3 linked regions of the Xenopus tropicalis genome follow. The main gene of each other region encodes a partner of the protein of the gene in region 2 in a complex. Links are inferred from orthologs where the notes say so. Each region holds a gene or a part of one and is shown on either strand. Other genes may lie near its edges.

What was found.
Region 1: the proteins of siah1 (region 2) and usp19 are in contact, whole or in part, in a crystal structure (PDB 4X3G), measured with the Homo sapiens proteins. The link is inferred for Xenopus tropicalis from reciprocal best matches to the Homo sapiens genes SIAH1 and USP19. Residues at the interface, in NP_003022.3 of Homo sapiens: Cys130, Pro131, Thr156, Leu158, Gln159, Asp162, Ile163, Val164, Phe165, Leu166, Ala167, Thr168, Leu172, Val176, Asp177, Trp178, Val179, Met180, Asn276; in NP_006668.1 of Homo sapiens: Lys463, Pro464, Thr465, Cys466, Met467, Val468, Pro469, Pro470, Met471.
Region 3: the proteins of siah1 (region 2) and cacybp are in contact, whole or in part, in a crystal structure (PDB 2A25), measured with the Homo sapiens proteins. The link is inferred for Xenopus tropicalis from reciprocal best matches to the Homo sapiens genes SIAH1 and CACYBP. Residues at the interface, in NP_003022.3 of Homo sapiens: Leu158, Gln159, Asp162, Ile163, Val164, Phe165, Leu166, Ala167, Thr168, Val176, Asp177, Trp178, Val179, Met180, Asn276; in NP_055227.1 of Homo sapiens: Lys59, Pro60, Ala61, Ala62, Val63, Val64, Ala65, Pro66, Ile67.

Annotation. Positions count from the first base shown.
Region 1 is NC_030680.2:137,486,265-137,497,106, reverse strand, and holds part of usp19 (ubiquitin carboxyl-terminal hydrolase 19), read left to right. Parts: intron 1-3,240; 5' UTR 3,241-3,376; coding exon 3,377-3,518; intron 3,519-6,195; coding exon 6,196-6,324; intron 6,325-7,045; coding exon 7,046-7,182; intron 7,183-7,888; coding exon 7,889-8,347; intron 8,348-10,842. UniProt on the Homo sapiens protein: Deubiquitinating enzyme that regulates the degradation of various proteins by removing ubiquitin moieties, thereby preventing their proteasomal degradation. Stabilizes RNF123, which promotes CDKN1B degradation and contributes to cell proliferation.
Region 2 is NC_030680.2:74,031,632-74,043,053, reverse strand, and holds the start of siah1 (E3 ubiquitin-protein ligase SIAH1), read right to left. Parts: upstream 6,677-11,422; 5' UTR 6,468-6,676; exon of another isoform or gene 6,327-6,467; intron 5,010-6,326; exon of another isoform or gene 4,975-5,009; intron 1,501-4,974; 5' UTR 1,432-1,500; intron 1-1,431. UniProt on the Homo sapiens protein: E3 ubiquitin-protein ligase that mediates ubiquitination and subsequent proteasomal degradation of target proteins.
Region 3 is NC_030680.2:98,118,229-98,129,070, forward strand, and holds the end of cacybp (calcyclin-binding protein), read left to right. Parts: intron 1-2,075; coding exon 2,076-2,175; intron 2,176-3,696; coding exon 3,697-3,791; intron 3,792-6,168; coding exon 6,169-6,325; 3' UTR 6,326-6,794; downstream 6,795-10,842. Other genes in the region: mrps14 (28S ribosomal protein S14, mitochondrial), read right to left, coding at 7,996-8,178, 9,076-9,243, 10,605-10,649. UniProt on the Homo sapiens protein: May be involved in calcium-dependent ubiquitination and subsequent proteasomal degradation of target proteins. Probably serves as a molecular bridge in ubiquitin E3 complexes. Participates in the ubiquitin-mediated degradation of beta-catenin (CTNNB1).

The sequences.
Region 1 (10,842 bases), about 63 Mb from region 2:
TCTATCTACAGTGTAGCGCTATCTATCTACAGTGTAGCACTATCTATCTATCTACAGTGTAGCTCTATCTATCTACAGTGTAGCGCTATCTATCTACAGTGTAGCGCTATCTATCTACAGTGTAGCACTATCTATCTATCTACAGTGTAGCTCTATCTATCTACAGTGTAGCGCTATCTATCTACAGTGTAGCGCTATCTATCTACAGTGTAGCGCTATCTATCTACAGTGTAGCGCTATCTATCTACAGTGTAGCGCTATCTATCTAGTGTAGCGCTATCTATCTACAGTGTAGCGCTATCTATCTACAGTGTAGCGCTATCTATCTACAGTGTAGCGCTATCTATCTACAGTGTAGCACTATCTATCTATCTACAGTGTAGCTCTATCTATCTACAGTGTAGCGCTATCTATCTACAGTGTAGCACTATCTATCTATCTACAGTGTAGCTCTATCTATCTATCTACAGTGTAGCGCTATCTATCTATCTACAGTGTAGCGCTATCTATCTATCTACAGTGTAGCGCTATCTATCTATCTACAGTGTAGCGCTATCTATCTATCTACAGTGTAGCGCTATCTATCTATCTACAGTGTAGCGCTATCTATCTATCTACAGTGTAGCGCTATCTATCTATCTACAGTGTAGCGCTATCTATCTATCTACAGTGTAGCGCTATCTATCTATCTACAGTGTAGCGCTATCTATCTATCTACAGTGTAGCGCTATCTATCTATCTACAGTGTAGCGCCATCATCTATCTGTTAGGGCTCAGCAGCATCAACTCTGTATGTACAGCCTCTTTGTAGTGGAGAGACTAATATTGTATGCTATTTTAACCATAACTGATGCACCCTGGATCATTATCCCCCACACTTTGTTATTGCACAATATTTTGTTGTATTGATATATTAAAGTGGGCAAACTATATTGCCCACAAGTATACTGGCCCTAGTAATAACAACTGCTACTTCTACATGTGTGTATATTCTCCATAGTATCCCTGCCGTGTCAGAAGCACTGTACTTATCCCTTCATAGAGACGTCGCCACAAAACCTAAAGCACTTTGCATTAACTAGGGCAACTAGAACAACACACCCAAACTTCCTTTTAATCATATGTTAACTATATATATATATAATATACACTTTATTTTGCTCTTGCTGAAGGTCCCTGTGGTGGCAGAAACATTGAGACACTATGAGGCATTATGTCAAGAAATCTGATTGATTTGTTCTTTAAAACAACAGTTAGGGATGACATTTTTTGTTTTATCTCAAATACCATTTCTTGGGCACCCAGGTTAGCTCTTTGGAAGTGGTGTGCACCATTTTTCTTTGTATTGTAGAGTGTGATATGTTGCTAACCATTGATTGATTAAAGGAGAAGGAAAGGTAGAAACTAAGTAAGCTTTATTAGAAAGGTCTGTGCCAGAGTCCGCACAGCTCTCTCCTCTCTCCTGCTCCCCCCTCCCTCAAGAATGCTAAGAACTCCCTCCCCCCCTTAGGAATGTGGATCTGAGCCAATCAGCAGGAAGCTGACTCATAGTCTTACTAACTGAGCATGTACACTGGTCTGGGTCTTGGTGCAGGAGTAAGGCATTATGGGAACTTTCTTTACAGAGCTCAGCATTTTTTCTTCCTGTTTGGCTTCTGAACATCTGAACAGGTGAAATATGGGGAGACTTAAAGGTACTATTGAGAGAACTGAAGGGTATGCCTGCAGCTTGAGATTAACTCTTTATTAGCCTTTCCTTCTCCTTTAAAACAGCAAAATGTTGATTAATTGGCTCTAAGCAAACCTTTCCTAATCATGGAAGGAGTATGGGAGAAACAGAGCAACCAGGTAATATTAGTAAGTAGGTTATAGTAAAAAAAGAAAAAAAAAGAATATATAGAACATTTTTGAATTAAAAGAATGGGCATAATATTTTTTTTAAAAAAAGGACAAGACATTTAGTTTGCTTATATATGGTGTATATTGCCCCTTTGAAAGGGTAGTTTTTTTTTTTTTAGTATACAGTATTGATACTTTGGCAGCGATACTTTGGTTGCTGGGGACTTGTGTACCCTAGCAAATAGGCAGTGGTTTGAATGAGACTGTGTTGGGTGGGGGCTTCTTAGCAAATTTTGGTTCGGAAGCCAGAGTTCCCCTTTAAAATGAGTTTCATTTTCTCCCGTCTCATGTTTAGAAGCAGCTCAGTGAGCCAGGGCACAAGTTTCTAAACTTGAAATAAACGTTCCGTTAAGGGGCTGAAACTGCGGTGTCTGGGAACTCATGTTTTTAGATATCACAGCTTCGGCCCCTACTGCCCAACTCTCTTGATGTTTGTAAAGTCTGTAACAGAGTAACTGTAAACATTGAAACATAAATGCCGGAATGTTTCTTTCTGCTGTAATGTATCAAATCGTAACTGATTATGTCTGTGACCTTACTGATCTGTCTAGCAAATAAGCTGGTTTTAAAACCACTTCAGTCCCTGGTTTAAGAAGTGTAAACAACTATTGAGTTTAGCCCAGTAGTTTGTTGCTAAGTTTCACTTTGTAGCTTGCCCTAGTATGTGTGAATACTGTTGGGCTATGATAATAAGATAATAATAAGGATACACACCCAAGCGTTTGCGTAAGTTTGAGACTTGCATTCTCAGGTTTAATGTCAGGGACTTATTAGTAAGGATGCGCCAAATTCAGGATTCTGTTCCGGATTCGACCAAGGTTCAGCCTTTTCCAGCAGGATCCAGCTAGGGTCTGTGCAGTTCTAGTTATGCTTTAACAGTGCAACCGTTCATGGACTACAGGCTTATAAAAGCTGAAGGGCTATGGTGTTGGTTTTGTAGTTTTTAAAAGAGAAGGAAAGATAAAATCACTGGGGGTGCCAAAATCTTAAGCTACTCAGGGCTGGTGTGGTTTTCTCCTTAAACAGGAGGACCAGCCTGGGGTATAAGATGAGCAATTACAGTCACTTGGGGTGCCTAGCATTTTGGCACCCCCCCCCCCCAGTGATTGTACCTTTCCTTCTTCTTTAGCTTGAAATATTACCTTAATGTTTTGCTTATGTTGGGTGACTACATGCTTTGGTTAATATCATGATGAAAGCATATTTTTAAGCATAAATATGATTACATTGATATGAGTTTGATTTTTTTTAAGATTTTAATGAGATATTAATATTAATCAAATATGTTTGTATTATTATAAAAAAAAAGACACTATGCTAATTAATTCTATTTGTTTGCAGATTATTTGTTCCTTAGCAAAGAGTTTACCCACAAAGAGTCGCCAAGATAGCCGGCCCAAGTAGAAAACGGCGAACCCCTGACCCAGATTCCGTTACAGATCCCGGGGGCCCATCTGTTTATACAAAGCGGCAGAAGATGTCACATCCTGCCGAGGGTGCCAATCAGAGAAGGGTGACTCGGGGCACGGCAGATGCAATTAATAGAAAGAAACAGAAAGATAAAGCCAACCAGGAAAGCAAAGAGGGCAAGGCACCGACAAATGCAGGCCCCCAAAAAGGTATTGTTTAAATACTGTCATAGGAAAACGTGTTTTTTCAACGCATCGGTTAATCCTGCATTGAAATCCATTTTCCAAAAACACAAACAGATTTTTTTTTTTTTATAAAAATAATTTTGAAATGTCACATGGGGCTAGCCATATTCGTCATTTCCCAGAGTGCCACAGCCATGCAACCTGTGCTCTGATATTTAGAAATAACAAGTAAACCACAAAAATCATGACCTTATCCCTTTGATCTCTTTGATGCATTAACCTCTGAAACATGTTTCAACAGCAAGTAGCAGCAATCAAAAGGTACAATATGCAGTAGCCCCAAACAACCTTGAAAGTTCTTTGTGACTGCCCTATTGGGATTGTTTTAAAAGGGAAATGATATGCCGTTTATAAGTAGCGCTTACATTTGCTTCCCAATTTTCTCGTCAAATACACAGACGGCTTATTAAGTAACATCTTTATGTACATTTGAGTTTATAATCTGTTGGTGTTTTGATTATTGCTGCCAATATCATGTCAAAGGAAAATGATATGCAAACTTTTAATAGCACAGTACTTTCTTTTCCAACATTACTGTTTTTGTTCAAGTCGCCAAGAAAGGAGTGGCTTGGAATGCAACAAAACAATAACATACATTTTATAATACTTGTATGCTTTATTTTAAATAAGTATAAATTCTAGCATGCTGATATATCAGCACAATTTCTAACCACTTGGAGATTATCATTATTCAGCAAATATTTACCTTTATAGAAATATACTACAGGTATGGGACCCGTAATCCAGAATGCTTGGGACCTTGAGTTTTCCGGATAAGGGATCCGTAATTTGGATCTCCGTCTGCTAAGAATCATTTAACCATTAAATAATCCCAATAGGATTGTTTTGCCCCCAGTAAGGGGTAATTATATCTTAGTTGGGATCAAGTACAGGTACTGTTTTATTATTACAGAGAAAAGGGAATCATTTAACCATTAAATAAACCCAATAGGGCTGTTCTGCCCCCAATAAGGGGTAATTATATCTTAGTTGGGATCAAGTACAGGTACTGTTTTATTAATACAGAGAAAAGGGAATCATTTAACCATTAAATAAACCCAATAGGGCTGTTCTGCCCCCAATAAGGGGTAATTAAATCTTAGTTGGGATCAAGTACAGGTACTGTTTTATTATTACAGAGAAAAAGGAAATCATTTTTGAAAAATTAGAATTATTTGCTTATAATGGAGTCTATGAGGAAATTGGCTTTCCGAAATTCGAAACTTTCTGGATAACGGGTTTCCGAATAAGGGATCCCATACCTGTACTAAATTAAGGGTAGAAATTACACTACCCCACTTTTCTGTTTCTAACAACATAATTTGTGTATTCTAATCCACTGAGATAAACGGTCTTGAACCCTTATTTCTCTTTCATTGAAGTGAATGAGTAAAAAGGTTGTACAGGTACGGGATCCGTTATCCAGAAGTCTTCGAATTACAGGAAAGCCATCTCCCATATACTCCATTTAAATCAAATAATTACATTTTTAGAAGTTGCTTTCCGTTTTCTCTGTAATAATAAAACAGTATCTTGTACTGGATCCCAACTAAGATATAATTACCCCTTATTGGGGCAGAACAGCCCTATTGGGTTTATTTAATGGTTAAATGATTCCCTTTTCTCTGTAATAATAAAACAGTACCTGTACTTGATCCCAACTAAGATATAATTACCCCTTATTGGGGGCAGAACAGCCCTATTGGGTTTATTTAATGGTTAAATGATTCCCTTTTCTCTGTAATAATAAAACAGTATCTTGTACTGGATCCCAACTAAGATATAATTAATCCTTATTGGAGGCAAAACAATCCTATTGGGTTTAATGTTTAATTTTTTTTTTTTGCAGAATTAAGGTATGATCCAAAATTATGGAAAACCCCAGGTCCCGAGCATTCTGGATAACAGGTCCCATACCTGTTATATGATGGTGCCTTAATTCTGTTAATGTGGGTGATACTCTGATACTAAGTAATATGGCTGAACTTCCTCCATATGTTTTTGATGTTGAGGTCATATATTTAGTATGATGGGATTTTCCTAATTCTAGCCAATTACAACAGGACTATCCGCAGTACTCATGCACACTGGCAGTTTTGAATATACTGAAACCAAATGGTCCAGTCTCATTAGTCACGTCAATCATGCACTGACCTCCATGTGGTTTGCATGCTGATTTTTTTGTACTCTAGTCCCTATTGGATTATCAAGGTTATGGTATTCGGCAAATGTAATGGAACCCTGATACATAGTCAGACAGCACGAGCTGCTTTGCTGAGCTGATCAGTGACCTTGAATTCTTACTGCACTTTCCCATAAGTCAGACCCGATTCAGCTAGCTGCCATAAGATTGTGTAGTGTGCATATGGTGCCTTATCTTGACATGCATACTATTATTTGTTTGTTGATCAGTGAAGGGAGTAGTATATTTGCTTGAAGCTTGGGCTAAACACCTATGGAACTAGGCTCCACCCCCTTAGTTGCTTTCACTTAGTATTTACTGGTAGTCTAGGCTTAATGTTTATTGAGATGTTTAAAAGCAATGTTTATTTTTCTCTTTTGCTGTGACTTGCGCATCATTTTAGGTTGTTTTCTCATAGAATATAATTTTATATCCAATTTATTTATTTTTTTATGACAGACATTGTGATTGACTGGAAGCAGAATTCAGAAGAAGTCATCGTGAAATTAAATGCTGGATCAAGAGCTTTAAATGTGGAAGAGCTGAATGCTGAATTCACAGATACAGATTGTGTTATTAGCTTCCCAGGTAAGCACTAAATGACCACAAGAATCCCTTTCTAATGGACTTTACCACCGATTGCAGCACACTGACCCAGTGGGAAACAATTCTGCTTCCCTACACTGGGGTGGATTCCATCTTGGGCACTGGTGTCCAGGTACTTCCTGTCTCCAAATACATTCAGGCAGGTTAATTGGCTCCTTATTAAATTGACCCCAGTGTTTGAGAGTTTAACAGGGACTTTAGACTGTAAGTTTCACTGGAGCATAGAGTTATTATATCTGCTTAAATGTGTTGGTATTTTATAATATGCAGATAATAATAGTAATAATAATATAGACAATATAAGAGCTGCCATGCTCAATACATTAGAAGCAGAATAAGCACACAAAACATTACATTTATTTTTAATATTTGCATTATTCCTACAAGAAAATGTGATCAGATTATAGAAAATTAAAGATAAATACTACTTCTAGAGAGAGTTTAGTCCCTGTTTGATTACTGATATTTTTACATTCTTGTTATATTTACAAGAGGTGGCCAAACATAGCTTATTCAGTTGGACAGTTTGCCTAGTTCTGGGGGCAGGTTTGACAGATGGAAGACTGCTGGATAGCTGATCTGTCTAGACTGAAGGGAGTAAATTGTGGCAAAGGTACAATATCTTAGACAAGTCAGTATGTGTATTGCTGTGTATTTACTGTGAGACTGGAGGGGACTATATCACATACATATTTTCTTTTAGAAGGCCAGCAATGGAAATGCCAATTTCATGAGGAAATTGAAGGTTCTTGCAGTAAAATTCAATATAAAGAAAAAGGCAATATCTTGCAAATCATCCTTCAGAAGAAAATTCCATTTAACAAATGGCCAACACTTCAGGTAAGGCTGCTTGATATTTTCCTAAATAATTTTGGGCTCTTAAACTTTCCATTTAGGAAAGAACCAATGAAAGGTAGACATGTTATTTTAATTCTGATTGTAATTTTTGTAGGTGGCCAGAAGAGGGTACTCTTGCATTATCACAGTTTTTGTTACTTGAAACAGTTGATAAAGCAATGGCTGCAAATATCTTGAATATTCAAGGTGCAGCAGTGCCATCACCACGCTCAGATGTTGTGGGGGTAGCACATTGTTTTGTTGGAATTGCTATAGCATGCTAAAAAATACCAACCTGACATTTCAGTGAGCATCAGAACTCATTATTCTCTCTGAAGAATGGGAACTGTATTTTCAGCCTGCTTTAGCTTTAAAAATAGAGCAATTTCTAATAAACAAAGTGACATTGGGTCCTGTGGATGTCACTAAAGCATAAATTAGTATTTAGGTAGCTGTCAGTATCACTTGATATGATTCATGCAGCCTACATCTCTACAGTATCCAACATTTATGCTTGTACCCTGAGAAAAAAGGGGTGTTCCCCTCTTAAGTATATGCTGCTGTTAGCTAAAGGCTATAAAGACATAGGTTCTGTACAGTATACTAAATGTGTTGAAAGCTCAGTGTGAGAGTCCGTTAGCCAGGGAAGTGCCCTACTGCTTTATTAACAGTTTGCTTCTTTATTTGTATTTTGGCTTTGTTTACACAGAAGAAAAAGAAAGAGTCCATGAAAGAGCAAGTAAAAGCTGGTGCCCTTATGGAAAATGGGAAACCTAAAGTGTCTTTAAAATTACCACTACCTGACAAATCCCAGACCCAACCATCCGAGAGCACAGATGCACGAAAGGGTAAACCAGACCATAGGAGTGTGAGAAGAGGACAAGAAACAACAGAGGCTAGCAGTGGAGTGAAGAGCAGCCTTACAAGGAAATCCATATCTACTGCAGTGCACAGTGGAGTCCAGATGAAAAGAGGCTGCCATAAATCTGCCTCTGTGATCGCAGGAGGGGATTCCAGTCCACAGAGTCAGAAAGTTGCAGGCTCTGAGGACCTTTCCAGCAGAGGACTAAATAAACGGAATGTCCAAATCCCTTCTGGAAATGCAACTTGGGCAGGACACAAGTCTGGAGACAGCCAAGCAGAGCTGCAGAATGCACAAAGGGACCAGGTGAGCTGCTGCTTTGGGATATGTTCATTACTTAAAAGTGACTTGTATACAGGTGCAAAGGAACCTGCTGACTTAGAGCTGGAGTTGGGGTGCCTCTTACCAACATCCATGGTGAGCACCATGCACGGCAAAGTGCATCCAGAATAAAGAATACCTTTGATTTTATTTACTTTCTGCCTATTTGTCTAATCTAATTGATAATTATTTCTTGTGTTTCTGTAGCTGCTATCAAGATGTTCTCAAGGGGTGGTTCACCTTTAAGATATTGTTTACTATGCTATAGAATGTACTGTTCCTCGCAACTTATTTTTTTATAGTTTTTGAATGATTTGCCTTTTTCTTCTACACCTTTCTAGCTTTCAAATGGGGGTCACTTACCCCAGCAGCCAAAAAAAACTATTGCTATGCGAAGTTACCATTTTATTGTTATTGTTACTTTATTCCTTATATTTCTGTTCATTCCCTCTCCTTTTCATATTTAAGTCTCTTTTTCAAACCAGTGCCTGGTAGCTGATGTAAACAAGGCCCTAGCAACCAGGTAGCTGCTGAAATTCCGAACTGGAGATCTGTGCAACAAAAAGCGAACTGAAAAATAACAAAATATGAAATCCAATGGCAAATTGTCATAGAATATCACTGTCTATATCATACTCAAAGTTAATCTAAGGGTGAACAACCCCTTTAAAGTGATAATGACACATTCCTGTAAAATCCATAGGAATGTGTATTACTTGGGGAGTGTACTGTAAACTATTGAAGCAAAATGCAGGGTTAAGGTGTCCATACACGTTAAGATTCGGATCTTCACCCGATATCCCCACCTACGGGTGGGCGATATCTGGGAGCGTGTAGGCTAATTCGATTGTTTGGCCCTGGGGCCAAATGATCAAATTATATTGGCGGCAATGGGACAGTCTGTTCGGGGACTGCATCAACGAGCCGATGAGGTCCCCGATCCGACTAGATTTTCTAACCTGCCCGGTTGAGATCTGGCCAATTTCAGGCCAGATAACGGTCGGGCAGGCCCGAAACGGTCTAAGGGACCGATATCGGCAGCTAGAATCGGCCCGTGTATGGGGGCGTTTAGGGATTTAGCAAAATAAACAATCACAGCCCTTATTGGTCACCCCCTAGGATTTTTTTTTCATGCTTGTAAACTTTTCCCATGAGTACCATCTTCAAAGAGAATAATGAAGTCTGCTACAAACTCCTGTATATAAGGGCGAAGTGCCCTGGTATGCGGCTACCTCGGGCTCAGGAACACATAACAATGCCAAATGCCTGATCAGTTTATTCTGCTGTAAGCATTGGTGTCAGTTAATTGGGTACAGACCCAAAGGTCAGCACAAAATCAATTTAAATTTGTATTGCTGTAAGGTAGGACTAGTAAAACTGAACTGCGTGACAACTATGTTAAGCCCCCATGGATACAGAGTCGTACAAAGAGGAGGCAATGTTGTTTTGTGAGTAATCACTGGCTGGGATGACTACTGCTCTATAATTATACGGCTTTGTACAGCAGTGCAGAGTCTGATTACACAGTGGTTATGTAAAGTGGAGCCGTTTCACTTCTGTCCTCCTCTGCTCTTTTTTTTATAGGTTTTCTAACCCTCAAAAAAAAAAAAAAAGGGGGCAACAACAATTTTGTTAAAGGGGAAATGTACCCACCTGTAAAACTTAAAGAGAAGATATACCCTTTTTCACATTAGCTCACTCATTCAGTTGTTCTTATATATATATAAAAAAAAAAAAAAAGCTTCATAAACACTGAATTTCAAACTACTAATTCCACTGATTAAAAGGGGGACCATTTCCCCACCTTTAAACTCAGAAGCTTGTGCAACCCCTCCCTCATCTTTTTTTGTTGTGATGTAAAGAATTCTGGGGGACTGTCTGCTTTCCAGAGAATCTGTGCATCACCTTCTATGGAAAGTGGAGATGCTTCAAGTCCCAGAATCCATCACTTTACAGTAAAACAGGTTGAGAGAAGAGTTTGCTAACTCATGTCAGAAAGCTGCACTTTCCAGCCCATACCCAGACAGAACTGAAGGTTACATTCCTGGTAAATATTCATACCACCAGTTTAAGACCTGCTGATATATTGAAATTATGAAAAATTGCCCTGAAGCATTTTAGCTTGACCTCAATAGCTTCTGTGCTGCAGCTCTGGCTGCTGGTAGCTCAGATTCCACAGCACAGTTGGGAGGGGAGCGAGTTCAGATAGGAGGGGGAGAAGCAGAAGGGATGGGGAGAGAGGAGAAAGAAGCAAACTGAGCAGACTCCTGCCATGCCCTGAAGGATTTTTCTGAGAGCAGGAAGTCTGACACAGAAGAACATGTGTACACAAGAGAAGAAAAGAAAATCCTGTTTTTCTTTTGATAGAGGACTCTGCAGCCTTTCTGTGAATGTTTATGGTTATATTTACACAGACCTTTCTAATAAAGCTTAGTAAGTTTTTACCTTTCCTTCTCCATTAATATCCTGATCCTTCAGCC
Region 2 (11,422 bases):
TTAAATGTGTTTGATGATCAGAAACATTTTGTGTGACAAACATGCAAAAGAATAAGAAATCAGGAAGGGGGCAAATAGTTTTTCACACCACTGTATACACTATATCATTCAATGTGGGGGCTAAACAATCAGAAGCTAATGTTACAGCATCAGAATATTTGCTAATTTCAAGTGGGATACCAACCACAGAGTGAAAAGTGTGGCCATATCTATAATAATTCACTTTTTTGGCAGGATTACCAAACAAATGAATATTTCTCCCGAAACCGGGCTAATTAGATAGTTAGGGCCAAAGACTGATGTAAAAAATGACGGGAATAAGAGCCGTCAGAACGAGGAATGCATCAACGAACCAATGTAGCCCTCGACCCCAAAGTGACCCTCGAATGGCAAAAGCAAGCCTGCTCCATTGCCATCTGGCTGATTCTTTGCCAGATATCAGTCAGGGAGGCCTGTCAGAGGGCCCCATACACAGGCAGATAAGATGCCAAATTGGTCTGAAAGACCCAAATCAGCAGCTTATATCTCCCCAGGTATGGCAACCTTAACTAGATACAATATCTCTAAGGCAAACAACAAATTTCCTATTTCTACACTGTATTATGTAACAATAAAGCAAACAATATAAGCCCTTTAACAATTTTATTTCAGAATCCCTAAAAATAAAACGCGTGGGATGGCAACCCTATACACAACCGCACCACATTACAACAAATTAAACTATCAAATTATGGCCAGGCACATGGTAAAAAACTGCTTGTAAAATAAGGGTTTCCATTTGTACCATTTAATCTACATGGGTGGAGATTACTCATTTTGTTCAAACCCATACTAGGAGCTATGCAGATTATTACATATTGGTGATTACCCAACAATGCAATAAACATAGTAAACCAGCTGCACACTTTGTAGTACTGGTAGCAGGAAGCGTGCTCTGCATTAACTTGGTGTATGATAGTGAATTATTGAGGTTACTGCTAAAACATTACCATTACCAGGAAGAGCACAGAGCAAAACAAAAAAGTAGTGGTTATGAGCACCAGTTCAAATAGCTGTTCCTCCTAAAATGTGCTGTCCCTTGATGGCAACTGGGCATATAAATGTTTTATACCATAATGAGCAGCAACTTTGATATCCAATAAAAATTATGTCACTGATGGTACTGCAATGTTGTGTGTTGTTACAATGTTCCATGTATATATGCATACATACATATACACACACACACACAGTGTAAATTAGACAAAAGCAATTCCAAGAAAGTGGAAACACCATAATATAAAAAGTACCTCTGCATCCATTAAAACTAAAATTTTCTTTATATTATAAGCTTTTGAAAGTTATTCGTGCCACTAGCATAAAAGCATTACTGTTCTAAAATCTATCTCATTTTTTTTCCACATATTTTTTTCCATGTTTCATTCGCCCTACCTCTATTTTACACTGGATTTCTTGTCCTGTGCACTCCGTTCTTCCTGAAGGCAACATCCAACCCACAAACTATACCAAAAAGAGAAAAAAATGGCACATAAGGAAAATGTTATATTTTATGGGTAAACAGGTCTAAATATAATTGACATTGGATACTGCTTAAAAAAACCAAGAGAATACATAATTGCTTTACAATGACTATATTATTTTAGTCAACATCAACAAATAAAACTCAATAAAACATAATACTAATTTAAAATGTACACAAATATTTTTATCATGGATTCTAACATATTGGATTAAACAGTTTTTTTAGTTGGAACACTGCAAAAAGTTGAGTTGCATATCATTTAAACCCTATATTGCATTGCAAGTAGTACAAAGACAACATATCGTGAAACCAAGGAGTGTTGCTGAAAAGCAAATTCTCATTTTGAATTTAATGCCATTAACATGTTTTTAAGAAAATTGAGACAGAGGCAACAAAAGACAGGGTGTAAGGCCAAAAAGAGCAGATCCCAGAGAGGCTGGGCCACTTAAGGTCCCCATACACGGGCCGATTCTAGCTGTCAATATCGGTCCCTTAGACCGATTCGGCAGCTAATCGGCCCATGTATAGGCACTAACGACGGGCCTGCCCGACCGATATCTGGCCTGAAATACTAAATGCAAGTAAAAACTCTACCATGCATCTGTACCATCCAGCAAGACATTCTGATAAATAAGAATTTGAAATTCTTTTTGGAAATCATGGATGCCATCACGGAAATTAAGGGCCATCCTCATTGTTATCAGAGCACAGTTCAAATGTAATGGTACCAGAAGGGGCATCAGTTCCTACACAATATGTTGTTTCTGTACTATTTTCAATTGAATATAGGATATAAACAATTTGCAAATCATCCCATTCTCTTTTAAATTTATGTTTTACACAGTGTTCCAGTGCTTTTTGTTTTACACACTCCCGCAACCGATTTGCTTAATAAAGGTAAGGCAAAATCTGAACTGATGCACAGACAAAAAGAAATAAAACCAATCAAGATATACAGTAAATTATAAAGCTGGGCCATAAACATAATAAACATACATATAATAAGGCAGGGATCCCCAAACTTTTTTACTTGTGAGACTTGCTTAGACGTAAAAGTGTTGGCGAGTCATAAAAGCATTAAAAAAAAGGTCCTTGATGATGCAAAATAAGGGCTGTGATTGGCTACTTGATAGCTCCATGTGCACTGCTGCCACAGCAGGAGGCTCTGATTGGAGTAAAAATGTCTCTCTGTGCTTCCAAACTTATCTCCAAGCTAAAAAATTACAAATGGGCACCTGTTTTTAAGACACTGGGACAACATGTCACAAACCATTGGTTGGGGACTGTTGCAATAAGGTAAACTTTTACTATTTTCAAAGCATCACTCATCATGGAAACCCCTCCAGCAGCAACTGTGAAAAGCTATCATGTAATCCTATAATATAATAATGGGATTGTGGATGAAAAAACAGATTATCTTGGACAAACAATGGCACATGGAGTGGACATTAGTGACCCATAGTCTTTACTCTTTCTGGTGGCTGCTTATAAGATTCCAAGCAAACCCCCTTACAACATAAAATTCTATCTTCAAGGGGATTTAAACTTAACATAAAACCAGTCTAATATCTGCATAAACTGGGAATCACAAACTTAATTGCAGTTACAAGTAAGTGCTTCTATGAGGATCCTGAATGCCAATACTAGATAAGTCACACTGCTGTTGTCTAGCACAGGCAGAACTATTACTGGTTAGGGTCCCTGCTAGAAACAATGTGGCCAATGCCTCCAACATCATTTACACCTTCAAGGTGCCCATACAAAGGGCAGATATTGGCTGCATCAATATACACTTATATACATACATATGTTCATTTTTTTTTTTTTTTAAAAGGTATATGTGTGTGTATATATTTTGTAGTTTTAAGCTGTGCTACCACCCCCCTATCCCCCCTTTGGAATCTGGAGTTTGCTTTTTTAAGATAGAATGGTCTCTGTAGGGCTAAGGGCTCTGGCACACGGGGGGAGATTAGTCGCCCGCGATTAACTCCCTGTTCGCGGGCGACTAATCTCCCCGAGTTGCCTACCCCTGCCATCCCACCGGCGAACATGTAAGTCGCCGGCGGGATGGCACATGCGGCGGAGCGATTTCGCGCGAATCGCCCCGCCGCGTCTGCCATCCCGCCGGCGACTTGCCATCAGAAACTTTGGGGCCCCACATGAACACAAGCATACAGTACCAACATTTTATCCAAGCCCCATGCGTGTGCAATGTAAACAGCTGATGTTACCCTATAATAAACAGTTCACATAAGGCTAATGCCACACGTTGCGTATTCTCAGCAAGCCGAAAAACGCTTGCCCTACGCTTGCCCTACGCTTGCCCTTCCTTGTGCCTGCACCAAAAAGCATTGAATACGCTCAGGTGCAGGCACACGTTGAGTATTTCTACCTAAAACTGTGTTTATTTCAGAAGTGGATCCGCTCCCTTATGCACCTCAGTAAAACTGCATTGACAAGTGCAGCTTCCGCCTCTGCCCAGCTACACAAAGTAGAGCAGAGTAAGAATTGATCTGAAAATGCGAAACCAGAAAAAAAAAAAACTCAGGCTAAGAGCAGGAGAGGAAACACTCTGTGTACCCTCAGCCTAAAACATGGCCAGCCCTTTCCAACTTTACATATAAGGAGCTCTTTATTAAACAACCTTCTTCCTTTTAAGAGATTAACAAAAACAATATATAATCTTAAGTAAAACTAGGAATGCACTGAATTGGCTACTTTTAGCAGTCTGGCCAAAATTAATCTGGTGGAGAAAATTTGCCTTGTACACGAAGCGTGCACACCGGTGTTTCCAACTTCATCTTTGGGAACTTCCAGGTTTGGGTGAATCCATACCCAAGAATTAAGGGATTCGGACGAATACCAAATTGCTAATTTCCATGCATCCCTATACAAAACACTAGGCAAATAGTTAATACAAACTCACTGTAAACAAAATGGAAAAGGGCACCAGAAGAGAAATACATTTGAGAATTAATATTGATTATTCATAGTTCTGGAGTTTTCCAGGTTAAGGGGTGTTTTATCACTATGAGGCACCATGGCCTTATGTTTAAAACACTTTAAACATTAAATAACTAATAGAATTGATTTCCAACATGGATTTATGCTAGCTTAAAATCAAGTAACAGTTATAGTCTTATTGCAGAGGAAAGGCAAATCCATCAAAAGTGAGTAACCGTCTGCTTGAGGAGGAAACTGTGTAATGTCAACGCTTTTAGAATAATGGGTATCCAAAAAATAGATCCCTTACCTCAACACAACTTCCTACCCACCAGCTCTAAGAAATGTATTGCTTTTTGTAGCTTCTAAGCTCTAAAGCAAAAAATATTTTCAATACAGCATTAAAAAAAAAAAATGTGTTAGCAGCACCATTTTGCATCTCATCTTTATCACTTAATCTTTAAAATGAGCTGCATAAGGAAGAAGAGATATACAATAAAGGTGCGTACCCTAATGAAGCATGTATCCGAGTGCTGTTGAACAGACAATCTAAAAACAGAGGATTAATTCATTAAGCCACAAATGTTGCATCATTTATAGTAATTAAGCAGCATCACAAACAGTAAACAGAACAATCACCTATAAATGAAATCATTTGTGCTTCCTCAGTTACAACAACTCCAAGGCTATGACCGGATGCATCACACTTAGCGGCTGCACTGATAACTCTTGCTATCGAAAGAGAGGGTATAACCACTCAACAACTGAAATGTTTGTAAAGAAAAATTCCTTTACATCGCAAGAACTCAACATGAATACCGCTGTTTTCGACATGTGGGCAGGAGTACTAGGATACTGTGCATTAGGTACATCATCATCATCTCTTACACTTAAATCCGTGCTATTCCCAGGATGCAACTCTCATTGGATGTTTTGGAAATCATGTGTTTATGAAAAATAATTAATTATGAGAAAGAAATTAAGGGTGTCCGCTTAAACCCCTCCTCTAGTTGTTAAACCATAATAAGCAACAAGGAAATAATGTAAATAGGTGTACAACTCCAGCCAAATGTTGGGAATTGTAGTACAAGAGCTGGGGGGGGGGGGATTCATAAATGCCAGGATTCACAACACAGCAACTATCACATGTCACTACATCCACAAAAAAAGCATTGTCTGCAACAAGAAGCAGCACCCCCTTGATTTGTACAATTGAACGGAAGGCAGCTATAGTGCGAGTGATTTCTCTCTGGGGGGGGGGGGGGGGAATTAGGACACAGATCAGGAAAGGGGGAGGGGAAAACACACAGGAGGGATTAGGCCACAGGCCTTGGTTTGGCAACAAGACAATAACACTAGAAGCAACAATACAGGCTGCTACATAGGCAGGGACAATGACCGGGGTTAACAAATGGCTGATGATGCGGTTAGGGTGTGTTGATTATTTACATTAGCCAGACAGAGCTGCCAGATTGCCACTTCAACACCGAACACCCATAAGGTGCAAGTGCAGCAGGGCTGATGATGCAATGTGGGAGTATTTGACAGAAGGAAAGAAAGAGCAGAAACCCACAGCAATGGGGCTGCCATGTCATACCATTATAAGCAGACACCCATATAATCCTTTTGCCAACATTATTTGCATAAAAAGCCACAAAACAAATAGAGAAAGGTCGGGGTCTGCAGCAGCCAGCCACTTTCTCTGTATGCAAACATATGTCATAGCCACACGTGTAGGAAACATCCATTAACCCTTCCCCCACATACACAGCAATATGGGCTCCCCCACCCCCTCCTCCTGCCGTGCATTATCCCATGGGCGCCTGAGAGACAGGATTTATACACAGCGTCGGAGTCCAACCTGCGGCCCTCCAAATGTAGCTCTACCATAACTCCCAGCATCCCCGATCTGCATGGTACGACAAAAGCCGAAGGGCCGTGGCTTAGCTATCCTGGCTCCCGATGCAGTGTTGCCATCTCATAGAACACGGGCCGCGCTCACCTTCCCCAGGAGGGAATCCGCTTTGCTATTATGCCGCTTCCTGTTCGGCTTCCACTGTGACGCACCAATTATCGCACTCACAGGATACCGGAAGATAGGTCACAAAATCCTTTATCGCCGGTAAGACGGCTCCTTTACCGGGTCTGCTTCCCACTCCTTATCTCTGTGGAGCTGCCGCCGTCCCCCGTACTCCGAGTGCGCGCACCCCCCCTACTTCCACAGAAAGACACTGCAGAGGGAGCGAGCGTGCGCGGGCACAAAGAGTGGCGTCACTGCTCCCGCGCTAACACGGCGCGCTCCCGCCACGGATTAGGCTGCCCTCAGATGGTCGAGCAGAAAGCCACGCCCTCTTGCGTATACCACGCCTACCAACAATTTGCACGGGTAAATGGCAATTGTTTGCTTGTTCTGCTGTAAGAATCTATATACTCTCTCGGTCGTCGTTAGCAGATGCCTGCCAACCTTACTGCTTTATGGAACAAATGAACCATTGAAGGGACTTTCGATTCATTATTTTAAGTTAACTCTTAGCGTAACGCAAAAATAATAAAAAAAAACGGGACTGAATTAGTATCGTGTAATACATTTTTAAGGGTATTTCAATAAGGTGCAACATTTGGTCGGGGCCTTAATCAAAGCCACGTTTCCAGTAATATCTAAGACAGTAAGCCAGTGACTACTTAAAATCCCACCCTAACTGATCTCAAGGAATTATTAGAAGAGCAAAAAGACATCTGTCCCAGTTGGGCCCTAACTGGCCCTCAGGCCCTGCTCACTAGGGAAGCCCCATAGTTATAATATGGAGTTGACATCACTGACCATGTTTTTGCAATCAATGGTCTTAATGTATGTCTTGTGTATCTCTCTCTCTCTCTCTCTCTCTCTCTCTATATATATATATATAGATAGATATACATATAATATATTGCAAAAATAACATCCTTTTAGGAAAAAATGTTTTTTAGGTCGCCTGAAGAAGTGCCGGGTTAAAAGAGCACAAAACGCACCAGCACGTTGTACGTCTCACATGCACATGTGCCAAAAATATTAAGCAGTCTAAAAAAAATGGTATTCTGAGTGCCAGAGGCATGATGGAGAAAGGTGTTCATAATGTCAACAATATGGAATCAACATTATTCTGTTAGAGTAAATAAAAGAATAGTCCAAGACAAATTAGTATTTACAAGCAGCAAGCACACTGGTTCCTAGGAAATTGAAAAAACCCTCCACCAATGAAATGGGAATGGATACAATCAATAGAAGAAACAAGGAAAATGAAATTTACCCCAATAATGTCATAAACATATAAGATAATTGGGAAATTTGGTTCCCGTTGTTGCCAAATTTCATATGATTCAAAACTAACTAGACGAGGAGTGTGTATACAAAAATCAGCAACAATTTTACTTCAGTGGAGCATCCCCATGTAATATATTGCAAGATTTTAAACCTATGATAGAAAAGAGAATACCATTTAATAGCTACTGCTTCCTTTGTATTTGGCCTATTTGACAAAGTGCTATTATGTTGGAGCTTTCCTTTGGTTTGAAGGTATAACCATATATCTATATACTTTGAGTATATAACATAGTGAAAATTAAATTAATGTACCATGACTATATACAGTAGATATAAAAAGTCTACACACCCCTGGTAAAATGTCAGGTTCCTGCACTGTACAAAAATGAGACAAAGATAAATCATTTCAGAACTTTTTCCACCTTTAATGTGACCTATAAACTGTAACACTCAATTGAAAAACAAACTGAAATTTTTTAGGTGGAGGGAAGAAAACCAAAAAAACTTAAATAATGTGGTTGCATATAAGTGTGCACACCCTCTTCTAACTGGGGATGTAGCTGTGTTCAGAATTAAGCAATCACATTCAACATCATGTTAAATAGGAGTCAGTATACACCTGCCATGATCTAAAGTGCCTCTCATTAACCCAAAATAAAGTTCAGCTGCTCTAGTTTGTCTTTCCTGACATTTTTTTAGTCGCATCCCACAGCAAAAGCCATGGTCCACAGAGAGCTTCCAAAGCATCAGAGGGATCTCATTGTTAAAAGATATCAGTCAGGAGAAGGGTACAAAAGAATTTCCAAGGCATTAGATATACCATGGAACACAGTGAAGACAGTCATCATCAAGTGGAGAAAATATGGCACAACAGTGACATTAACAAGAACTGGACGTCCCTCCAAAATGGTCAGGGAGGCTACCAAGAGGCCTACAGTAACATTAAAGGAGCTGCAGGACTGGCAAGTACTGGCTGTGTGGTACATGTGACAACAATCTCCTGTATTCTTCTTATGTCTGGGCTATGGGGTAGAGTGGCAAGACGAAAGCCTTTTCTTACAAGGGAATGGCTTCACCGGAAGAAGATTAAAGTTTTGGAATGGCCCAGCCAGAGCCCAGACCTGAATCCGATTGAAAATCTGTGGGGTGATCTGAAGAGGGCTGTGCACAGGAGATGCGCTCGCAATCTGACAGATTTGAAGAGTGGGCAAATCTTGCAAAGTCAAAATGTGCCATGCTGATAGACTCATACCCAAAAAGACTGAGTGCTGTAATAAAATCAAAACGTGCTTCAACGAAGTATTAGTTTAAGGGTGTGCACACTTATGCAACCACATTATTTTAGTTTTTTTGGTTTTCTTCCCTCCACCTAAAAGATTTCAGTTTGTTTTTCAATTGAGTGGTACAGTTTATAGGTCACATTAAAGGTGGAAAAAGGTCTGAAATGATTTAACTTTCCATGATTTTTGTACAGCGCAGGAACCTGACATTTTATCAGGGGTGTGTAGATTTTTAATATCCACTGTATGCTTCCCTCCCACAGAACTGCTCCTGCATTAAGTGCAATAGTGCTTCAGCACTAGGCCATGCAGCCCCCCAGACACACTCTGGGGGGCTGCGTACTAAAAGTAGTACAAGCCAGTACAGGGGGGCCTGCTGAGAAAACTTTTAGGTAAGGTGCAGGCATGGAAGTGGGTTGCGGTAGCCCTTCTGCTTACTGAGCTTCTGGTCCCGGGGACCAGAGACTTAGCTGTTGAAAAGTTAAAGGACAAAAGGTAAAAACTAAGTAAGCTGTATCAGAAAGGTCTATGTAAATACAGCCATAAGCACTCACAGAAAAGTTACACTGAGTCCTCTATCAAAAGAAACACAGATTACCTGTCTCATTTTTTTGTAAACATGTTCTTCAGTATCAGATTTCCTCTCTGTTAGGGCTCCTTTAGGTTTGGGGCACAAACCTGTGCAGTTCTCGCCTCTCTCCCTCTCCCCCTCCCTTCTCCTGCTCCCCCTCCCATAATAATTCATAATAACTCACTCCCCCCTCCCTTAGGAATGTGTGATCTGAGCTACAGTTAGAGCTGCAGCAGGAAGCTACAAAGACCAAGCTAAAATGGCAGTTACTATCTTAAACGGAAGGAGCTATTAGGGCTCTTTACTCAGGTATGGTAAAGCTTTCTGCAGAAAATATATAGAGTCCTAGGTGGCACTAATGTGGCTAACCTATAGGCAGTAAAATGCCAAAATGCCTTTCCATCTTCTCTCTGTCTCCTTTTAAATGTGGTTCTCTACTCATGAACCATTTTCCATCATATTTTCATGTTGCACCAATACTGATTAGTGTATTTTATCTAATGTTTCTTAGGCAGGCCCTAGATATTGAGCTTATTTTGGTGGGCCTTAGGAAGCTCAGTCCAACAGTGCTTTATTACATACAACATCCAGTCTTCAAAAAACTTAAACAGGTTAATTGCAATGCCTTAAAAAATAAAGCAAGCTCTGTATACTGTAGCATTTGAAACTGTGGTTGTTCTGTTTTACTAAAACTATCCAGTTTTTTACATTCCTGGACTGTTATACAGTAACGGTGTTTTTCTTTTCCCAATTCTTATGGAACTGGAAACAGTTTTACTGCATAATAAAGGGCCATCTAAAAGCACAGATATATAGAATTCAACTATGAATGAACAAACCCCATTCTGTTCCATCAACAAAGTAAAATAAATAATCACAAAACAAGGAAAAGGCTCTTTCCTTTATAAAAGAGCCCTGAAGTGTTAAGCGTAAACATACTGATGCAAATTAGGAATCAATGAACAAATGATTATAGTTCATCAAGTAAAAGTTTCCACATGTTCTGTGTGTTAAACACACCATACAAATCTCAGGGCAGAGGTGAAACTTGGCAGACAAACAGAACATGTAGCAGCTTGTTGAAGGGAACCTCCCGTTGATAGGAAGGATGGCATAGTCATGGCAAAATTGTATGTAGGTGTAGTGCATAGGAACATGTACAGTGTGTGTTGTGATTTTGTTGGTCTTTATTTGCCCAGGTTTATTTTTACTGTTGCATTTTGTTTAAATATATCATTTGTATCTAGTTTGAATTAACACAAATTACATATTTAAGGGGTGTGAAACTCAAGATCCTATTACTGCAATGAATTTTCACCTGGCATCTCTCATCTCCTGCCATGTCATCTCCTGCACTGACATTAACAAGAGAATCTAGATGAGACAATTACAACTAACCACCATTTACATGTACAAAGGAAGAAACATGTCCAGACTGAGATTCAAAATATGCACTGGCATTTCAAGTACACTTTGAGAGGTTGAATTTGATGGTCTGTTTTTCATGCCAAATTTTCTATGTAACTGTGTAACCCCACACAGGCCTGAATATATAGCCTGCAGCTTACACCAGATTCCCTGACAATTACTAGAATTTCCAGATTGTCATTCTGGGCCTAGAAAGAAACTGCTAAGGAATGAAGCAGATTTGATCTATAATATTGTTCTAACCAACAATTTAACAAACAGAAGCTGCACTACTAGCTTTTTCATAAAAACATCTGGTAGAGCCTTTTCTACCTAGTGATTTCAATGTAAATAATGGCAACATTATTGTGATCTTCCAAAAAGACTTAAATGATTAT
Region 3 (10,842 bases), about 24 Mb from region 2:
CCCCTAACAATTCAACCCTAAACTCCGCTTTTGCTAGGGCACCTGATCAAAATCTGTTGTCCCACCTGATCGATAAGAACTTTTGCAATATTGGTCGCCTCTTCAATCCACCATACACGTACCAAATATCATACAAAAATTGGTGCATGTATGGCCAGATTGAAGCAAAAGCGAGGCCCATAAAAAGTGCCATGAAATAGAAATACCTGTCTGTATTAGATTCTGAGACCAAAACAGTTACATATTTGGGTTTTAGTCACAAAGTTTGTGTGGGCCTAGTGCCCCCTCCATTTTTAGTGAGCATGTATGTGTCATATCCCTGTTTCATGAAATCCGTCTTATCTATAAATGCAAATGGAAACTGGAGGAAGAAGGGCCATGTTCATGCAGAGTGCATTTTTTCTCCACAGGATTGGAAAGAAAAAGAATACAGGTCCTTTTCAAAAAATTAGCATATTGTGATAAAGTTCATTATTTTCTGTAATGTACTGATAAACATTAGACTTTCATATATTTTAGATTCATTACACACAACTGAAGTAGTTCAAGCCTTTTCTTGTTTTAATATTGATGATTGTGGCATACAGCTCATGAAAACCCCAAATTCCTATCTCAAAAAATTAGCATATCATGAAAAGGTTCTCTAAATGAGCTATTAACCTAATCATCTGAATCAACTAATTAACTCTAAAAACCTGCAAAAGATTCCTGAGGCTTTTAAAAACTCCCAGCCTGGTTCATTACTCAAAACCGCAATCATGGGTAAGACTGCCGACCTGACTGCTGTCCAGAAGGCCATCATTGACACCCTCAAGCAAGAGGGTAAGACACAGAAAGAAATTTCTGAACAAATAGGCTGTTCCCAGAGTGCTGTATCAAGGCACCTCAGTGGGAAGTCTGTGGGAAGGAAAAAGTGTGGCAGAAAATGCTGCACAACGAGAAGAGGTGACTGGGCCCTGAGGAAGATTGTGGAGAAGGACCGATTCCTGACCTTGGGGGACCTGCGGAAGCAGTGGACTGAGTCTGGAGTAGAAACATCCAGAGCCACCGTGTACAGGCGCGTGCAGGAAATGGGCTACAGGTGCCGCATTCCCCAGGTCAAGCCACTTTTGAACCAGAAACAGCGGCAGAAGCGCCTGACCTGGGCTACAGAGAAGCAGCACTGGACTGTTGCTCAGTGGTCCAAAGTATGTCATTCGGAAATCAAGGTGCCAGAGTCTGGAGGAAGACTGGGGAGAGGGAAATGCCAAAATGCCTGAAGTCCGGTGTCAAGTACCCACAGTCAGTGATGGTCTGGGGTGCCATGTCAGCTGCTGGTGTTGGTCCACTGTGTTTTATCAAGGGCAGGGTCAATGCAGCTAGCTATCAGGAGATTTTGGAGCACTTCATGCTTCCATCTGCTGAAAAGCTTTATGGAGATGAAGATTTCATTTTTCAGCATGACCTGGCACCTGCTCACAGTGCCAAAACCACTGGTAAATGGTTTACTGACCATGGTATTACTGTGCTCAATTGGCCTGCCAACTCTCCTGACCTGAACCCCATAGAGAATCTGTGGGATATTGTGAAGAGAAAGTTGAGAGACACAAGAGCCAACACTCTGGATGAGCTTAAGGCCGCTATTGAAGCATCCTGGGCCTCCATAACACCTGAGCAGTGCCACAGGCTGATTGCCTCCATGCCACGCCACATTGAAGCAGTCATTTCTGCAAAAGGATTCCCGACCAAGTATTGAGTGCATAACTGAACATAATTATTTGAAGGTTGACTTTTTTTGTATTAAAAACACTTTTTTTTTATTGGGCGGATGAAATATGCTAATTTTTTGAGATAGGAATTTTGGGTTTTCATGAGCTGTATGCCACAATCATCAATATTAAAACAAGAAAAGGCTTGAACTACTTCAGTTGTGTGTAATGAATCTAAAATATATGAAAGTCTAATGTTTATCAGTACATTACAGAAAATAATGAACTTTATCACAATATGCTAATTTTTTGAAAAGGACCTGTATATGGTAGATACAGCTCTGCTCCCAAAGCAGAGTTAACTGATGCCAATCTCTTATTTTGCAGGTCATTTGAATTGTTAGTGAAGGATCTTGATGGAAAAAATCACACCATGACTGTGAACAATTTACTAAAGCCAATTTCTCCAGAGGGTAGCACAAAGAAAGTAAGTCTTTCACAGCTGTACTTGCACTGTAAATATTATGCTCTTAAATGCATGCGTATATGAAATTTTGAGACAATTATAAATGCCAGAAACAAAATTACAAATTCCATGATGCCTTGAAATAAGAGGGCTTATTTACAAGAAGGAAGGCAGGGTGCAATGTACAGTGTTTTTAGCACTTTGCACCATCTGTACTGTTCACTTTTTAATCCCTGCATTCTTCACACCTCAGGCTCAGACTGTAATCACCCGCATTGTTCACCTGTTCACACCTGTAGGAGCAGTGCCAGCATTGTGTCACTGTATGTTGCCTGTGTGTCCCATACTCTGTCTAATTTATGCTGTGTGTGCGCCACACACACAGGCAGCATAGGGCAGGCAGAATATGGCACACAGGCAGTACTCTGCCTGCCCTATGCTGCATGCATGTGCCATACTCTGCCTGCCCTATGCTGAATGTGCATGCCATACTCTGCCTGCCCCATGCTGCCTGTGAGTGGTGAACCTGGCAGGGGTTTGTTCTGAAAGTTTATTAGCGTTTGATAATAATTATATGCCGGGGGGTGCTGTGCTATCCACACGGGAGGAGGAGGCATATGGATTTAAGTGTGTTACTTAATATAACATTACATAATTATTTCACATATGAATAAAGGGTAATATCCCTACAGTGAGCACCAACCATTTGGGTTTTTGCTGTGCTACTACCATTAATGTGGGTATGGTCTTGATAACATGGGTGTGGTTTAAAAAGGGGGAGTGGTCAAAACTGGCTTCCATTATCTGTACCACAGACCTTGGACAGCACTGCCTTATAACATCATATGTTAAAATAAATAGGTCTCCATGAATTAATTAATTAGTTATATTAACACTTGTTTGTAAACAGTGCCTTTCCCATTAAAAGTAAAAAGGATGGTGCTCTTGGGTAGGTAATGGAGAATGTTACTACCTCCACTTCATCAGTGGGCTGTGGCCATAGGCTAGGCTATGGTGTAGAAGTTGGTTTTGACCCCTATCTATTTTTTACTATTTCACACCCACACATGGGATGGTTAATGCCCTCATTATCTGCTTAAGTATGGGTGCCCTATTATTTATATTGGCTGTTTCAAGGTTAGGTATTGAGAGGAGACCTAATTAATGACAGAATAGATTTGTCATCCAGAAACTAGGCTTATCACTAACTAAAAAGGTACATTTTCAAAAAAAAGCTTTTAAAATAGCCCCTTTGTGGATTTTCATTGGTATGGCCTGAGCACTTTTGTAGACCCATCAGGCCAACATCTGATCTGGTGCATTGAAGCATATCACCAAGTATATACAAGTTTGTGGCTCATATGAAAGTGTGTGTTGTAGTCTCCTGTAATCAGTTTTAATCCCAAACACATCTTGTGGGCATACAGAAGCTGCAAAATGAGTCCCTACATAATGCCTTGCAGTGCAGTAATCTCATTGGATGCAAAATATGTTCTGAATACATTCAAAAAATTCCTACTGTTTAATATTCTTCTCATATAGGTGAAGACAGACACAGTGCTGATAATGTGCAGAAAGAAATCTGAGAATAAATGGGAATTCCTAACACAAGTCGAGAAACAAACAAAGGAAAGAGAGTAAGTATCTTTACGATTCTTGGATCGTTTACAGATAAATTCAGTTTTTATCACGTGTTCATGCTGGAAGCTAATTTCCTTCAACTAGCACTCCTCAAATGATGGTACCTCCGACGACTCTGTTTTTAATATACTCATGTTCTTTCAATCAGCATGGAAAATACATAACATATAAGGCATTTTCATCTCTGTGAAAGGTCAGCAATTAAAGCTATATGAAAATGGTGTCTGCTTTTGGGAACAAACCAAAGAACTACTGGCTAGGAAGCTGCCTCACTATCCTATTGGCCATCCAAGCTTGTCACTGCCAACATAATTGAGGTTGCTGTTCAAGTTTAGGTATAAATCTATAAAGCTGGCTATACATGCACCAAAATAATTTTAAGAAACATAAGGGCTGACTAAGGTGCGTTAAAACGAGCGCTATTTATAGCATGCGTTAAAAATTTTGTCGCGTCTTAACGCATGATTCACTAAAAGGATACTTGCGTTAATTTAGACGTGATGCTGTTTGCGTTAAGTCACGAAGACTATTTTTGTGCGGTATTTGACGCAACACGCACAAATTGTCATCGTGCGAAAAAACGCTAGCCATACACGCCATTACTTTCGTAAAACTACTTTTTAGAAAATGACCATTTCCCTGCAAACTGGAGGCTGCATCACTCTAGGGCCAACACATAATTACCGCCTGCCCCAAGTAGGTGTTAATTTTCCCATAGACTAATGCGATATTTAGCGCGTCTAAGGGGCACATTTACAAAAGCATGAACGCTCGGAGCGTTCATTCAAACGCTCCGAGCATATTTTTGCCGAATTTTTCGGGCGTCCGCACAACTTTTTCGTACGCTTGCGCGAAATAAACAGGCTTTACCGCTGTTTACAATGGTTCGGTGCGTAAATTTTGTGACTTTCGGATCGCCAATACGATATTATCGTGACTAAATTTTCATTTCCAATCCAAATTTTTCCCATTCGGGATTCGAATTTGTGGATTAGTAAATCTGCCCCTAAGGGGCTGATTTACTAACCCACGAATCCGACCCGAATTGGAAAAGTTCCGACTTGAAAACGAACATTTTGCGACTTTTTCGTATGTTTTGCGATTTTTTCGGATTCTGTACGAATTTTTCGTTACCAATACGATTTTTGCGTAAAAACGCGAGTTTTTCGTATCCATTACGAAAGTTGCGTAAAAAGTTGCGCATTTTTCGTAGCGTTAAAACTTACGTGGAAAGTTGCGCATTTTTCGTAGCGTTAAAACTTAACGCTACGAAAAATGCGCAACTTTTCGCGTAAGTTTTAACGCTACGAAAAATGCGCAACTTTTTACGCAACTTTCGTAATGGATAGGAAAACTCGCGTTTTTACGCAAAAATCGTATTGGTAACGAAAAATTCGTAAAGAATCCGAAAAAATCGCAAAACATACAAAAAAATCGCAAAATACCGATCATTACGAAAAAAACGCAATCGGACTCCATTCGACCCGTTCGTGGGTAAGTAAATCAGCCCCTAAGTGTTTGTGAATCATGCATTAGTATTATTTCTGCGCGCTAATTAATGCAATGCGGTAAAATTAACGCGTTTGGTTGTGCACTATTTAACGCACGCGATATGCAACTTAACGCATGCGATAATGCGCGTTTTTTTGACCGTCAATTTTAACGCAAAAAACCATCCAATAAGCGTTATCGCACTTTAGTAAATCAACCCTATAGTTTCATACAATTTTTGGACTGTGTGTGGTTGGACAGGTTAGAAAATTTCAGGCAGATAATATCTGCGCATGTATTATGTGCATTTGCAGGAAGTCACTTTTGCACGATTTGTGTCTGCCAACTATTTCATGTGCAGAACATCCTCCGATTTGTTATTTTTAGGACTTTATCCTACAATTTCATACTGAATATTAGTTTTTGATAGTTGCATTTAAGCGTATGATCAATATCATTCGGCAGTAGAAGACTAAAATCTGAATGTAGCTTTTTATTTTATTTATTAAAGAAACTACAAACATTCCTTAAACCTAAAGTTTAAACAAAACACAAAAAATTAAAACAGTAATGTTATAATAGCTCAGCTGGACTTCACACTAGTGAAACAACTATGCACAGACGTACTGTATTATGACTTATCTGTGAAATAGGATATTGTAACATACTGTATTTTTTTCCATTACAATTTTTTTTCTGACTCCAAAACCAGTTACCCAAATTTGCTTCCAACTCCACAGCTCTGATTTTTATTGTACAATGGATCTAAGTTATTTTGAAGATTATTTTGATCACTTATTTTTTATATTTGGTGTTCATTGTCATGTTTTTGTATTTTAAGTTCAGTGTAACATAATTTAAATCTTTTTTTTTTTTTTTTAGGAAACCAGCACTAGACACAGATGGAGACCCAAGTGCAGGATTAATGAATGTCTTAAAGAAGATATATGATGATGGAGATGATGACATGAAGAGAACACTTAATAAAGCTTGGGTAGAATCACGAGAAAAACAAATGAAAGGCGATCCTGAATTCTGAACATAGACTTCTCAGTGCTTACGCCTTAAATGATGCCTACGTCCAGGAACAGTCCTCGTTTTAATGCCTGGAGAAATTATCTCTTCTTACAAGTCTATTGTTTACAATTCGCTTTCCTGACATGGAATTCGCTGCTGTTGCATTTCATGCCAATTAAGATTAGAAACTGCATGGTTCATATGCCTGAAACATTCATTTGTATACCTCTATCTTCCTTTCCTAGTAAAAGTTTTGAATGTCTGTCCTTCTGTCTTTAACACTTAACAGGCATATGCGTAGGGAATATGTATACATCTCTCATAAGAGGCTGCTTACAGCTACAGGTGTATTTATGCACCAGGGACGCCGCTCACTTTGCATGAACTTATATGCAGAGTAAATTTGGCCTCAGCCTGCTGTCATTGAAAGGTTAAATGTGAAAATCTGTTAAAATATCAGGTTACAAATTGTTTATTAAAGAGACCCATTTCAAACAGGTGTGCGGGTCTTTGTTTTACAAACTAATGTACCTTACTTGTACACTGTATAGCTTTTCTAGATCAGACAAAGAAAATTAGTGGTGCACTAGTACATACCATTAAGAATGAAAGAAAGCATCAAGAATGTTTATGGGAATCCCTACCCCTACATCCCCAAAAGTGTTGAGCTTTAAAACATTAGAAATCGTGAAAGGACAAATAAGGTTAAACTTAAAAACATTAAAAAAAAAAAACTAGATATAACTATATAAGTTTAAGAGGCAGAACTCTCACCACTTAAATGATTTGTAAGTTTCAGAAGTGCTCAAAGAAGCAAAGTTTACATCAATTCATTTTTTGGCTTTAGATCCCCTCTAGGGAGGATAGACCATACAATTCTGCCCCATACTTTCCCACTGCCACTGTTTAGTTTCCATCTTTATGTGCCATTCACCAATCTTAAGGGAGAATGACTTGTGATAAATTCAACAAATTACAATATTAAAATGTTAAAAATTCTACCTCAATTATCTGCAATTCTCTATAAGAATCCTAACTTTTCTTTCTCTCCCTCATGTGGATCAGGGGATGTGAAAAATGGAAGATTGTTTTGACACTTTTTACTCATTGGTAGTGGATATGTAACCCTTCAATAATTTTGGAGATGTTTGGTACAAGTACTAAAATAAAAAGTACAAAGTTTCTTATGTTTGCAATAAAAGAAAATGGTATTTAGTCTTGTTTTGTCTTTCAGCATAGATTCTCCCGTATTTTCACCTCCCCCAGATGTCTCAACACTCTTCTTGTGTTCTGGCAGTTTCAGTGTTAATGAATTTAATTAGCAATAGTTTTAGCAACTCTAAAGTTATGGATTCTATGGAAGATGGCCTTGCCTTAATTTGGAGCTTTCTGGATAACAGGTTTCCAGATAACTGATCCCATACTGTTTCACTGAAGCAAATTCAAAATGGAGAAATATAAACTACTAAAAAAAAAAAAAAAAAAGGTCTTTATAGCATAAATTTCCATTCAAAAGGATTCTCTGCAATGTAATTGTTGCTTTTAATACAGATTTTTTTTAAATACATATAAATAAGCCAGGTTTTGTCAAGAATTGTCAACAAAGAATGCTCTTATGATACTTTAATTAAAAAAATGTCCTTAGTAAATGGTAGCCCAGTAGCTTCGACAGTTGGCCCTCAAATCCTGTTCCTACCACATGGCTCTCTGAATGCCAGACATTTGGTTGTTATCGGCTAGATGACGGAACACAATTCGACTTAGCCGCCAACGTCTTTTTACACCCCGTGGTCGAGAAGTCAGGACACAGCGATTACGGATTCTTACAGGGCAGCTATCTACTGGAAATGCAGCAATTTCTTTATCTGCCACTTCCTGTGAAAAAAAGAGAAACAGATGATTTATTTTTCCCCAGTTTAATAAATGTTCAAAAAGACACAAACATCAGAGGTAAGCTGGCCATATACTATGTGTAATTTTTGGCCAATGAGCCCAAGGGGTTCTTGATCAAACCTGCCCAATCAGATCCATGTGTGGCCACTTTTAGACTGATCCTTGGTGAGACAATTGGCTGCTGTAGTATCACATTAAGCTTTATTTATCAACTTGTATAATGACCAGCTTCTTCATTTACTATCTTGGCTGTGCTTTGAAACAGAATAAGTTATAAACATGCACCCAAACTTAAGAACATGTTAATAATTACAATTTCTTGCCTTACAAAAGCATAAGAACGACAAATGTACACCATATAAAAAAAAGTTACAGGGAGTGAGAGCAGATAGATTAATGCGTACTTAGCATTGAATTATTGTGTGCATAATGTTGTGGGATTGTTATTGTAACAGCTTGAGAGCATTAACCCCCACATGTAATTAAAGGCACTAAGTTTGCCCAGGAGCAGTAACCAATAAGATGTTTCCTTTTATACAGGTAACCAGAAAATTCTACCTGCTGATTTATCGCTATGGGTTACTGCTCCTAGGTAAACTTAGTGCATTTTACTGCATAACCCCTTCAATTAATTGGCATATGCAACCTCTAAAGCATGTGTGTGATCACTATAATCATTTTAAGGAGTAGGATATAAAGTTGTTGTTTGTGATCACCCAGTAGTCCAAACCAGAGGAGAGGAACAACCTTCAGATGGTTAGAACAGGTGGTTTGTAGCATCTTGGTAACCGTATTTTTCAAAATCAAACTACCAACTATAGTATCTATAGTAAATATGGGGCATTTGCTCCGATGTACTGAATTGCTTAAATAAAATACCCGCAGTTCTTTAGGGAGAATAATGTTTTTCCGCAAAGCATTGACTCTCAATCTCTCATCAGCGTATTCATATGCCATTTTCCTCCTTTTAACATCCCGAAACATCCTCCAGTCAACGTAGTAATTTCGGACTTGATTTGTACAAGTTGCAGAAGGCCAAGGAAACAACTGAAAAAAAAAAAGATTTTTTTTAACAGTACAGGTATGGAACCTGTTATCCAGAATGCTTGTGACCCAGGGTATTCCGGATAAGGGATCTTTCTGTAATTTGGATCTCCATAACTTGAATCTGCTTAAAATCATTTAAATATTGACTAAACCCAATAGGGTTGTTTTGTCTCCAGTAAGGATTAATTATAGTTAGGACCAAGTACAAGGTTCTGTTTTATAATTACAGGAATCATAGAGAAAAAGGAAATCATTTTTAAAAATTAGAATTATTTGCTTATAATGGAGACTATGGAAGATGGCCTCTCCGTAATTCGGAACTTTCTGGGTAACGGGTTTCCGGATAAGGGGTTAGAATTATCGATTAATATTGTAAAGTATTTCTGGGGCCATACATATCATAATCTACTTGTTTGGCCATTCTGATAACAAAAAAAAATGGATACTTCTGCATTTTGGCCACTGAAGTGTAAGCCAATTCCAGATTGTCACTCTGGGCCTGCTACTGGTACCTTTACGCGTGTTTTCTCTTGGAAAGGAAAAAATGTTCATCCCTATAAGCTACTGTAATGAGTCCCTAGCGTGGGTGGTGAGGGATGTAATTAATAATAAAACAAAGTCTACAGCATTTGGAACAAACATTCCTCCCCAAAAATGCATTTATTTCAAAGTTTTCCAATACCCTAAACATAAATGGCTGCTGCATATGTACCATTTAAAAATGATCAAACGCACATGTTGGCCAAACCAAACATATTACTACTCTTCTATATATTTATAATATAGTACCTGGCCACGCTCTTGAAAAAGTTGTAATGTTAATTAGCAAGATAAAGGCGTATAAACCTCCAGTGAAGAAAATATAAGCCACATGTCATCACTGATGCTATTTGAGAGGCCCCGCTACTCCTATTTTACATGTAAACAGGCCTTATTGGGGCGCTTAGTATCTGGCATAGGTTCCCAGACATGGGACTTTTATTCACTTGATTATAGGAAATACATTTTTTTTAATTATAAGTATTTAGCTGCCCCCCATTCAAAGTGTTTATTTGGCAAAAACAAAAGGCTCCATATAACTTGTGAATATATAACATTGGTGAAATACCCCAATGCTAGGCTGCACGGAGAGTAGCACTACCTTCCATAATTCAAATAAACAATACTAGAGGACTCTTATTTTCTTCAGTTATCCCTGAGATTCTTCCGCTGCCGGACTTCCAAGGGCAGGGACCCTATTGCGTGTGAGTGCCGCTGGTATCACTACACCCTTTATTTAGCTCTACTGATTTACTCATTGTCTTCCTCCCCGCAGCCCTTTATGCCCACCAGCCTGTTGTCAATGTCATCGTCCCATTTACCTGCCGAGCGCTTCGAAACACACTCCCCAGCATGGAAGCCGCCATCTTGTTTTTAGACGCTATTCAAAATCAAGCAACTTTGTTACTTACAAGCGGCGTGGCTTGTATAGACTTACAATGGTGTGAACTATGCCATTGCGCCAGTAGATGGCAGCAAGCTTTAAGATTGTAAAAAAATCCGCTGAAGGTCATCCGCATTCGAATTTATATATGAGGCGTTAGAAGTTGGAGCTTGAAG